3 linked regions of the Coturnix japonica genome follow. The protein of the gene in region 2 purifies or fractionates together with the protein of the main gene of each other region. This does not show direct contact. Links are inferred from orthologs where the notes say so. Each region holds a gene or a part of one and is shown on either strand. Other genes may lie near its edges. The genes, in order: FRS2, SOS1 and EPS8.

Region 1 (3,648 bases), on a different chromosome or scaffold from region 2:
ATCAATATTCAGCTGGTGCAGTCAATAAGTTCCATGCTTGCAATAAAACAGCTGTAGAGCTGCTTCTACTACATTGTTCCCTAACAAATGAGCCAGTTCAAATTCAATAGCCTACATTTCATTTTTGCTGTACTTCCAAAAAAATTTGCACCAGATACTTAAACCTCAACAGACCAAAACCAATAATAATAACAAATCTAAGAAATAAACAACAAGAACAGTGACTAGTACAATTGGTAAAAATGGCAGAGCAGTATTCTTCAGTACTTAATATTATGTAAGGAAGGCAAGAAACAAAAGAGGGAAGAAAGGGTTGCTGCTCACAAAGTCTACTTAATCTTCTCTTGAAAAGCAAACGAAATTGAAAGGGTAGAGAGAGTTGTACAGTCAGTGAAAAAGCTTGCAGACTTGGTAAGTGGCTGTGGAAAAGAACCTCCAAAATATCACTTTCAATTGAGTTTTATTAGTATCTACTTCATATATTTAAATGAAGCAGTGAATTAAACCTGCAAAAATCCATTTAAGTGCATTTTTTCAAACCAAAGTTCACACTTTTTTCCTCAGAAGTCTGAAAGTTTAGTTTAATGCACAGTATTCTGTAACATTTAAAAGCATCTCAATTTCTCACTAGGAGCTGAATCAAGAATGCCTTCTAAACTCTTACTGTAAATTAATTGTCTGCCCTCACCGCTGCTTTGACAATGAAGTTTGACCAAGTTTGGTTAGGATCAAGTTTGTTACTGTTCCTAACTTAATAGTGAATTTAAAAAGTATTTTGCCGTTGCTAAATAACGTGATTTACAAGAGATACAACCACATGCTGAAAATCTCTAAGAAAATAAGAACTCAAATAACACACTAGATCAATACACGAGAATTCCAAGTACATAGAGCTGCATCACAGCATGAAGATGCAAAACAAGGCTCAGACCTCAGCCCAATACAGCTATTCCTCCATCAGGGCCTGCTGTTACAAACAGCAACAGAAAAGCCTGTCTTGGCCAAGATGGGGGTGATCTGAGGGCTGGAAAGGAAACTGACTTTTTCCTGATCAAAGGCACACAGATGATAAGTCGGCATAGCTGGAGTTTCCAGTCTTCATATAAAATTTGAAAAGAATTGAGAACTATGTCACTGATACAAATGAAAGTGATATTAGTTTCAAGAAGAGGTTGAAACAAAGGTGTGATGCTGAAGACAATGAAAATAAGGTAAGCATAACCAGCTCACTCCAGCGTTTCAGACTCTTAAAAATATAAAAAATAGCAAACTTTGTGCTCTGAAAAGATTCCTCAACAGCCCCAGCTTTCCTTGCCCTTCCTTGAAAGCCAACTCAAACTCCAATGGCAGGGAAACTTCCCTGTGAAAACCTTCTAAGCTGACCAGAGCTATCAACCCCAAAACACCAAGTGCTCCAGAACAAAAACTGTGAACAACTCAAATTCTCATTTTACCATAAGCCCATTCCACTTACTTTTTTTTCCAGGAACTGCATCCACGTATAAAACTATGTCCATTATAACCATTGTCAAAGGGCAGGGAAGTACATAATAATGATTAAACAAGTTGTCAGCTATCAAATACACTTCTGAAAATCTCCTTATACAAAAATTCAACATACCTTGTCCAGTTTGACACCTTCTACCACTTTCAAAAGAGAAAAGATTTGAGTCGTAGCCATAGCGACGGAGACAGAGGTAGTGCCATTTTACGGAGTCCCTTTTACGGGTGTACAAAATTAGTTCTGTATCTGTAAGTTCCATTATGCCAGAACCCAGCTCATTACCATCATCATCCACATTAATAACCTACAGAAAGGAAGTTAAATAACATTAGGTAAGTAACTGAGCACCAGTACTACTATTATCATCTTAATGTTTCACTAATGCATCTATCTGCTCCATCATAAGAGCTGTGATCCTTTAGGTAAAGTTTAAGAGAAAAAAACTCACCAAACCAGTTCCTTTGCTCTTCCAACCCAGAATTAAAATTACACATATTTTAAAAGCAACATGAGTGAGAATATAAAACATTATCGCAAAATCTGTGGTGATACTTAAAATAGAAGAGATTTAAGGTTAATGAGGTTTCAAACTGACACTACGTACACATTCTAGTATTTACACGGGGATATCTCAGGTAATTAAATCTTTCAAAGTCTCATTTCTAAAAAAATTATTTACTCTGTCATGTAACCCCACTTACAGCTGAGAAAAGCACTGAGAAGAGGCTATAAGATGAAGCTTCCTTCACATACCTGTAGGGCCTTGCACTGTGCTCAGACTGTTTTAGATTGTTTTGTCTGTCAGTGTAATGTCAACAAATAATTCACATATCCTATGGTTATCTTATGTGAAAACACGTTACATTTAGAGCTTATATGCTTATTCCTTCTGCTCTTCCACCAGTTGGAGGTGGTCTGCTTCTTTTATGGAATTCTGACACTGTACTTTCCCCCAAAGGTATTTTATCTCGCAATGCTGCCTGTAGCGGAATTCTTTCTTATTCAGTAAAAAGGTTACAAAGAGCTCCCTATTGTACCAATTAATTTTACCCCTTAAAGAGGCATTTTTTACTTGAAATCTAGTCAGTTAAAAAGAACTAGAAATAGTTTCATCTGCCACTGAAGCTTATGACAAATTGCTTCATTTTGCAAATTACATTCTTTCATCTCTCCCCCCTGCTGCTAAATCAGGGAACCACACAAACAATAGAGAAAATCTACCAGGAGAAAAAGAGGAACTTGTTGCACAAAGTGATGTCAAATACATTAAAAAAAAAAAACAAAACACCCCAAGGCGACAGAAAAATATTTTATCCTTCAGCTTTTTGTACTGATAATATTAAACGTTTCCAGAAATTCCCATTGTTTTAAAGCTCATTTCAGTGTTGCCCGAAGGCAACGTATGAATCATTTTTCACTATGGAAGCTCTACATTCCTTTGCCAACTTGGAGAGAAAGTTCAGAGCACAGAAGCAGATCTGAGTTGTGTGACAATGCAAAGGTATGTTTACTTAAAGGCACTCATTTTAGTAGCTTCTTGTTGTTAAGCACATGAACAAGAGTTCACAAGCTTCTAAATTCCAGCAAGACAAGGGATAGAAGCACACATACATGAAGCTTATTTAAGTTAAGGAAAACAAATGTTCTCCAAATGATATAATTCACAGTGATCTTCAAGTACAATCTGCAGTCCTATAATATTTCATTGCTGACCCCACTTCCAGGTTTATTATCATACTTACCCAGTTATGTTTCTTACTCAACTCACATGGTCCGCAACCTCCTAGAAGTAACGGTGTTTAACTGGGCTCTACAAAATGCATGGAGTTGTACCAAAAACATGAGGCTGCTTCTCCACCCTTAAGACTGAAAGTCGGTCTGTCTACAGAATTTCTGTCACTGCTGCTAAGAAAAGATTTTCAAAGGGGCAAGATAAACCTGTAGCCACAGATACCTGCAGGTCTGCAATGCTTTGACCCATCAGGCAGTTCTCCTATTTTCATTTAGGTATTTCCCATCACCTACCTACTCCACAAGGAAGCAAGAAAACAATTGACAGCATGCTACATCAGGTGCTTACCTTAAACTTGTTTCGATGGTTATCTGGGACAGTTTCTTTATCTGGACAGCTACAGCAGCTACCC
Region 2 (3,748 bases):
TGAAGGAGAATGGGAAGAAAAGGGATTACATTATGATCTGAATGGTACAAAAGCTGCTTTTTTCAAATGCAGCTGTTGAATGCAAAGACAGCGCAGCACAGACTCCATTGTTAAGGCCCATGTCTAATGAAATACATGGCACATGCTTGTAAGGCTTCATTGACAGAAGAAGCAATTTATACTTACTACACGCTTGCTTTTGGTAACAAAAAGCACAGAATCAAAATAAGTCATTGGGAAAGACAAAACCCTTTGCAATTGCTCAACAATACCTATTTTTCAGGAAGTGATTCTAGGGGTGCTGTTCGAGCTCCACGTTACAAGCCAACATGTATTTACGAAAGAGTAATGGCAGCCTTCCCCAACAGCTGGGAATGCAGCACGCTGGTATACATGCTTCAACGTTAAACACCATTCTCCTAATCAGCAACGGTAATTCAACATAGGTCTTCCCAAGTCTTTCTTCCAGCTATGCAGAAGAACGCAATGATCCTGTTTGGGTACCCAGCAGGTCTCAAGGAGGAATTCAGAAGCGTTATCCACTACCCAGGAGCATCAGAGCATGGTCAGCTCAATGGAGGCAAGAAGGGAAAATCCTCCTTGGTTCATGACGGGATGCACATCAGCACCTGATAACCTGAGCACAGAGAGCACGTGCTGCAGCAATTTAGCAAAGGCACACAGTGCTCTCCCTCTGGGAAGGTTCTGCCCTTTGGTCTTGCTGGCATTCACTGCCACATTCTCTCTGTTTTACTGGTCCCACACACAGACTCCAGGAGTGACTTGCTCTAAGAGGCAGAGCATGGGGACAGCCCTGAGCTACCCACTGCAGGGCTGCACCTGTCACCTGAGAGACAACAGACAGCTGTCAGAGCAAGCACACCGCAGCTCTCCTGGCTGCACCTGATGCTTAGGATAGGTTTGCTACTTTATGAGGCTGTTATCAGGACTAAGCACACTAGACAAGATAACTTGTACCTGTTTAAGTTAGTAAAATGCTCCATTTGGCCTCTTAATTAATGAAAAAGCTAGTAAGACAACAGCTGTATGTTCTCATCTGTCATTTGGTTTTCCTGTAACTCCAGAATCTGGCTTTTCAGCAAGGAAGGTGACAATACGGATGGGTTCTTTATTTCTGTATTTATGGGGACAGGAGCAGGAAGCACCAGAGGACTACACTACTGGAGCATGCTGGGCAACAGCACAAGAGGAGATAAGAAACAGGTGTAAACCTCATGAAAGCAGAGGTTCAAAGCACTAACATCTGCTCGACAGTCACACATCTGAGCATCAGAGCTTCAGAACTAACTCCACCTCAGCCCAGCTGCCCCACTACCACAGAGAACACCACACCATGAAACCGAGACAACTGTACCTCATGGGCCCAGCTGGCACCCGTGGAAGCTTATCTCCATAGGCTGCTGTTTGTGACTTCTGACCCTTCTTCTTCCTTTCACCTAAACAATTCATCCAGCTCCTCCAGCAAGCGTTCTTAATCCAAGGTGTCCCTGTGAATGTCTTTTGCTCGTTAGGATGAGATCTTGTGCTCCCAACACAAAGAATAATTCCAGGCTAAATTTTGCCTTGAGATCCTCAGTTCGCGTTCTTCTCCATTACTCAGCATCAACCCTTGCTCCAAGTCTGACAAACTGTCATGCCTCAGAATGCCCAGATCAAGCTCACTCCTCTGGAAGGTGCCTGGAGGCCGCAGGTGGCTCCAGCCCCCAGCTGGTGGCCATCCACACACACACAGAGGTGCAGGGAGAAGCTGTGAGCCGCACAGTCTGCTCGGCTGTGTGCTTCCAAAGAAGTGACTACCAAGAAGGACTGAAGCACAAACACAGCACGCTACGGGGATGACAAGTGAGAAGACTTCCAGTAACTGGATGGGGCTCAAAGAGCAGGCCCAAAACACAGGGTGACATGTCACAAGAGGAAACTGGGAAGAAATGCTGCAGTGGAACGACTGCAGTGCCTGAGACCTCCAAACTGCGATGGGGAACGAGAGGTCACCCGGCCCTAGGAGCAGGTCCTTCACCCAACAGCTGCCGTTCACAGCTATGGATACACGCAGCCATAAGAAAGCACTGCGGTGCATCCAAGCACCCCCCCGCTGCCAACCCGAGGCCGGTCCGGGCGGCAGCGTCAGACAGCCCCGTTCCTCACGTCCTGCACTTCCCGGGCCCGGCTGCAGGAGGACGGAGCGGCGCTCACCGTTCCTCCCCTCTTCCACACAACGTCGGTCCGCGCCTGTCAGCTCCACCAGCCCGAGGATGACGGCGTCCTACCGGATCCTACCGGCGGGGAGACGTCGGCGTCGGGTCCGGCTCAACCCGGGGCCGCTCCGTGTCCGCAGCCCCGGCTGTCACAGCGCCGCCGGGCCCGGCCGGGCGCGCTCCCCGGGCCGCTTCCGGAGCGGGGAGAGCGGGGAGAGCGGAGAGGCCGGGCCGCTTCCCACCCCCAACCCCCCGCTGCAGGCGGCACGGAGAAAGGCACGGGGAAAGGCACGGGGAAAGGCCCGGTGCGGCCGGCAGGGCCGAGCGCCGCTCCCACTTCCCCCCTCACCTTCTTCAGGGCGGGCACCAGCAGCCCCCGCCACTTGGGCGCGTTCTCCTCGCTGAAGAACTCGTAGAGCAGCGGCTGCGCCTGCATGGTGCCGCCGGGCCCGGCCCGCAAGGGGCGGCGGGCAGGGCAGGGCGGGCCGGGCTCGGCGCGGCGCGGAGGATCGATAGGCCGATAGGCCGCGGCGGGAGGTGCCGGGCGCCCCTCAGCAGGAGGCCCGTGGGCCCCCCGCCGCCGCCGGCAGCCCCGCAGCGGCGGGGGGAGGCTGCGGCTGCCGCATTCCCCGCCCGGCTCTCGGTGGTCGCCCCGCGGAAGGTCGCGGGGGCGGCGGGAGCGGGGTCACGCGGCGCGGCGCGCGGGCCGCGAGGGGCGGGGTCGGGAGCACGGAGCGAGAGCCGCCGCCTCCCGCTCTGCACTGAGACACCGCCACACACCGACCGGCGGAGCGCGGAGCATGCGCACTGACACAACGACCGCAACGCGACTGCGCAGCACCGACGCCGCCGCCGCGGCCTCCGGGTCGGAGGTGACCGCACGGCAACGCTCCTCCCGCGCGCCGCCTGCGGGTGAGGCCGGACCGGGACTGAGCGGGCGGCCCCTGCGGGGTGTGCTGAGCAATGAGTCCATCACCTCTATGGAAACACAGGCACACCGACCTGTCGCAGCTGGAAGGGCACGCTGCTCTTTAGGATCGTGCCGCTCCCTGTCGGTCACACAGAGCACAGCTCAGCGCTGCCCTCCGCTCCCTGTGAGGAGCTGCAGCCGCCATCAGCCCCCATCAGCTCCACACTGAGCAAACCTCAGCCGCTCCTCACACAGCTTTGGCCTGCAGGACTTTGTCCATCCTTGCAGCCCTCCCTTGGGCACTAATAATTTCGTTCACCAACCAGAACCCCACAATCTCTATCAGCACAGCTGCTCTCCAGCCTCTCACCCTGCACACAGACCTTGGGCTGCCCAACGCAGCTGCAGAATCCAGCACTTGCTCTCACTGAATTCATGCTGCTGGTGATTGCCCGGCCCTCTAATCTGTCGTGATATTTCTGCAAGGCCTCTCTGCCCTCAAGGAAAGAAACAGCTCCTCCTCATTTAACGCTGTCTGCAGAATATTGTACCTTCAGGTTTAATCTGCTTCAGAGGGCGCCATGCTGGGGGGAAGCAGTCCCCGGCCCCTCTCTCAGCCAAG
Region 3 (3,748 bases), on a different chromosome or scaffold from region 2:
CTCAATTTTTCCATCTGGTGTGGCTGAGTGCTGCTTCTTCAGGGAAACCACTCACCTTTGATCAGTCATTCACTGTCTAGAAGACAAGGCTGACTTGGCAATTATAAACAGAAATGTAGGAGAAGTAAGTGTTAGACACTGAAATCAAAGTTAACAAGCACTTTATTAGTGCAGCTTTCACTGTGCAGTCTTCAGCTACGGTAGTGAGACAACAGAAGACTTGGAGAGCAAAGTTTTTATATATTTGATCTATTTTGACCCTCAGGGCACCAATTATTCAACTTCATGCGTTTAGGTTTTAATAAGTTTTCACCCACAAGGGAAAAAATATATAGCAGTTAATGTGAGTGAATTGCCATTCACAGCTAGAATATGGACAGAAAGAAAATCAATTGTATTTCATGAATTCAGTTGTCACCAAGTGGAAGGTGTTTTTTAAGGTGTGTTTTTCACAATAGAAGTGTCTTTAGAACAATCTTGGGCTCTGTATTATCACTATGAATAGACAGACACCTATTGGGTGTTCTTCCCTGTGGGGCTGCTACCTCCTTCCAATTATACCTAATGGGATGCTCTGAGTGCTTTCAAAATTACACACAATCAAAAACATTTATTGAGAGCTCTAAGAGTGCAAAACTCAATACTTCAACCATTATGAGTATGTGACAGTACAAGCGTTGGCCAAAGCCGGTCGTATATCCACAGCCTCCCCCAGACAAAGCAGCCATGCTCAGCTCCAGCAGACCTTTGAGCACAGTATCTCATTACCTGGAGGTACCCGTATGCTAACAATAACACTGCACTAGGGAGCTGTGAATCGAGCTGAGAAATGCTGCATCTTCTACACCTCCTGGGAACCTCACAAACTCTTTTGCAGCCCTCACCACTCATTGAAAGAAACTAGCAGCCCACGATAGGGATGGTCTAAGAGGCAACCACTTCTTAGAGGGCTCTGTTTGCAGAATTTCCAGTGGTTCTTTGTGGAATAGGGACTGCTCACACAACGCTGATTCAGTATTTCCAGTTGCTAACAACAAAAATGGTCATATGGAGGTTCTTCCATGTAAGCGATTTTTGTAGCTGACATAGCCATTGCAGTCACAAAGGAGAAGAAAGATGGTTAATAGGAAGGGAGGAGAACCCTATTTCTGATGACAAAAGGAAGGAGAGGCTGTGCTAAAACACAGTCAACACTGCCACGAAACCTGAGATCCATCATTTAGTTAATATTTCAGCAGACACAACCTAGCGGAGTAATATTTTTATCTCCAGTACTTCACTTGAAGTAAACAGACTCCACCAAAGGTCACACTGCAGAACGCCTGTACCTCGGAGGGGTACAGGAAGCACGAGTCAATGCAAAGCACGTTTTTAGGGTGTGAGTGTTGGTTCTCAAACAATATCCTTATGAAAAACTTGTTCTGCCCTGCTGCCAGCTGGCTCGAGACAAGGGTTGAGCAGAAGTGAAGGTGTCTTGGTGTTCATGATCATAACCCGGCCCTACAGAGGTGTTACAGGGGGCCAACAGCATCTAAAATCATTCACCAAAATGCCAGAAAACCTGCTTTCCACTGCGTGCCCAGGTCATCCTTGGTGCACAGCGCACAGGAGAGCGAGTCATGGCGGGGAGAGGAGCAGCAGGAGGAAGAATGGCAGGGAAAGTTCGCAGCGAGAGGGAGCGGGGAAGGAAGGCAGCAGGTCAGCGCACCCGGGAAACACGGGCATACGACGGGATTATCGCACCCGCCAGCTGCTCCTCGCCAGCTCCCAGCAACGCTGACTGGGAAGCCAGCTTAAAAGGTGGAAAACAATGATACGAGAGCCGGAGAGACAGCACGGCCACCTGAGAGCAGGTGGGGAGGGAGGTGACGAGCGCCGGGGACACGGGAGCCCCGCACTGGGTTCTCGGGCAAGGTGCGAGGTGCGGCGGCACCTCCGGCGGCACACACGCAGACGGAAGGGCTGCAACCCCAACACCGTCCCCAGCCGCGGAGCCTCGCACACACCGAAGGAGTTTTCCAGCGGCCCCTGCCCGAGCAGCCTCATCCTCCTTCATATGGCTTAACGCCGCGCAGCTCGCCGCGTTACGGAGCCGGGTTGGCTGCCCGGGGGGATTTCAGGACCGCAGCGTGAGAGCGGGGAGCGGAGACCCGAGAGAATCTCTCCCCGGCAGCCCGTTCTTACCTTGCGGGCTTCTCCTCCCTCGCGGAGGGTCGGGGGCGCCGGTGGCCGAGAGCGCGGCGTGGTTCGGTGCGGGGCCGAGCGCGGGGCTCAGCGCTACCAACAAAGTGTCGGAGCGGGCAGCGGGAACAGCCGCGGAGCGGAACGGAGCCGAGCTCCCTCTGCCGGCCCGCCCCGCCCCGAACACAGTCCCTGCCCCAGCCCGCGGCCGGGGCGGGCTCGGCCGTCGGCCAGCAGCGTTCTCCTGTTGCTGCGTGCGAGCCGCCCGCAGGATGCCGAGGTACTGAAAGCAGCCCCCCGGAGCCGGCCTGAGGTAGGCGGCTTGGTTCCAGTCATACTAAGCGTTAGCCAGAATCGCCACAAAGCCACACACAAAACCTACCAAGGCTCCGAAGCAAGGAAATAGGTGTATCTACACCGCCTGTGGGATGAGTCGGCTGCGAGAGCAACACGCTCCCGTCCTCAGTCTCATTTGAGGATGAAATCTCCTGGCTATCGATGCTGTTTCCATTTGGCTACGCGTGCCCCTTGCCCAGACAGCTCACACGTGGAACAACCCCGCACACACGCTCCGTGTAATGCTGCTGTAATGCTGCCTACGCTGGTGGCTTCTGTAAAGAGGCTCTGCCGCTGCTACAGTCAGGCTGCTCACTGAGGATCTCTCTTTTCACTGAGTTCCCAAAATTTCTGTCCTCCCTTCCGAGGACAGGCTGAAGGAGCTGGGGCTGTTCAGCAGGAGAAAGGAAGGCTCCAGGGAGACCTGAGTGCAGCCTTCCAGTATCTAAAGGAAAGCAATAGGAAAGAAGAGGACAGACACTTAAGCAGGGTCTGTTGTGATAGGACAAGGTTTGAGTGGTTCCAAGCTAAAGGAGGGGAGATTTAAATTGGATATGAGTTAGAAGTATTTCACACTAAGGGTGGTGAGGTACTGGAGCAGGTTGCCCAGAGAGGTGGTGGATATCCCATCCCTGGAGACACTCAAGGTCAGGCTGGACCAGGCTCTGAGCAACTTGATCTACCTGTGGGTGTTCACTGCAGGGGATTTGGGCCAGATGGCCTTTAAGAATCCCTTCCATCTCAAATGATTCTATGATTCTGATTATATGACAGGCAAAAAGAACCTCCCTTTGTGTATAGTAGCAAGCTAACTTCTGAGGTTGGGTTCCTGGTTCCTAATACAGTGGAATTGGCAATCCTGAAAGACTTAGAAAGACTTACAAGTTCCCCATAAATGTACGGTTAAGAGGAGCATCAATCTTTTAATGTCTAAAGTATGCAAACACCACAGCAGGACTGAGTGCAGTTACCCAAACGCAGCGATGAGTCTTTTCCGATGCAAAGTTTCTCTGATTCCAGGCCCTTTAACAACTCATACCAGGGAATTATAAGGTAGGGAAAGAGCAGCTGTGTTCTGCAGTTCCCATTTGATTCCAGGATATGGGACTTGGCAGCTCCATGCTCTCCATACCACTCTGTGAGTCACCTGCAGAGGCAGTGAAGGCAGAACCATCACTGCTTGCTCCTTTTCCTGGAGCAGAGGGTCCAGGAAGCAGGGAAAAGAACAATC

What was found.
Region 1: the proteins of SOS1 (region 2) and FRS2 purify together in Homo sapiens (affinity purification with western blotting; 5 studies listed by BioGRID). This does not show direct contact. The link is inferred for Coturnix japonica from reciprocal best matches to the Homo sapiens genes SOS1 and FRS2.
Region 3: the proteins of SOS1 (region 2) and EPS8 purify together in Homo sapiens (affinity purification with western blotting; 5 studies listed by BioGRID and IntAct, with this or other methods). This does not show direct contact. The link is inferred for Coturnix japonica from reciprocal best matches to the Homo sapiens genes SOS1 and EPS8.

Annotation. Positions count from the first base shown.
Region 1 is NC_029516.1:32,187,438-32,191,085, reverse strand, and holds part of FRS2 (fibroblast growth factor receptor substrate 2), read right to left. Parts: coding exon 3,585-3,648; intron 1,809-3,584; coding exon 1,622-1,808; intron 1-1,621. UniProt on the Homo sapiens protein: Adapter protein that links activated FGR and NGF receptors to downstream signaling pathways.
Region 2 is NC_029518.1:14,500,430-14,504,177, forward strand, and holds the start of SOS1 (son of sevenless homolog 1), read right to left. Parts: upstream 2,770-3,748; 5' UTR 2,653-2,769; coding exon 2,566-2,652; intron 1-2,565.
Region 3 is NC_029516.1:57,733,659-57,737,406, forward strand, and holds the start of EPS8 (epidermal growth factor receptor kinase substrate 8), read right to left. Parts: upstream 2,860-3,748; 5' UTR 2,564-2,859; intron 2,292-2,563; exon of another isoform or gene 2,185-2,291; intron 1-2,184. UniProt on the Homo sapiens protein: Signaling adapter that controls various cellular protrusions by regulating actin cytoskeleton dynamics and architecture. Depending on its association with other signal transducers, can regulate different processes.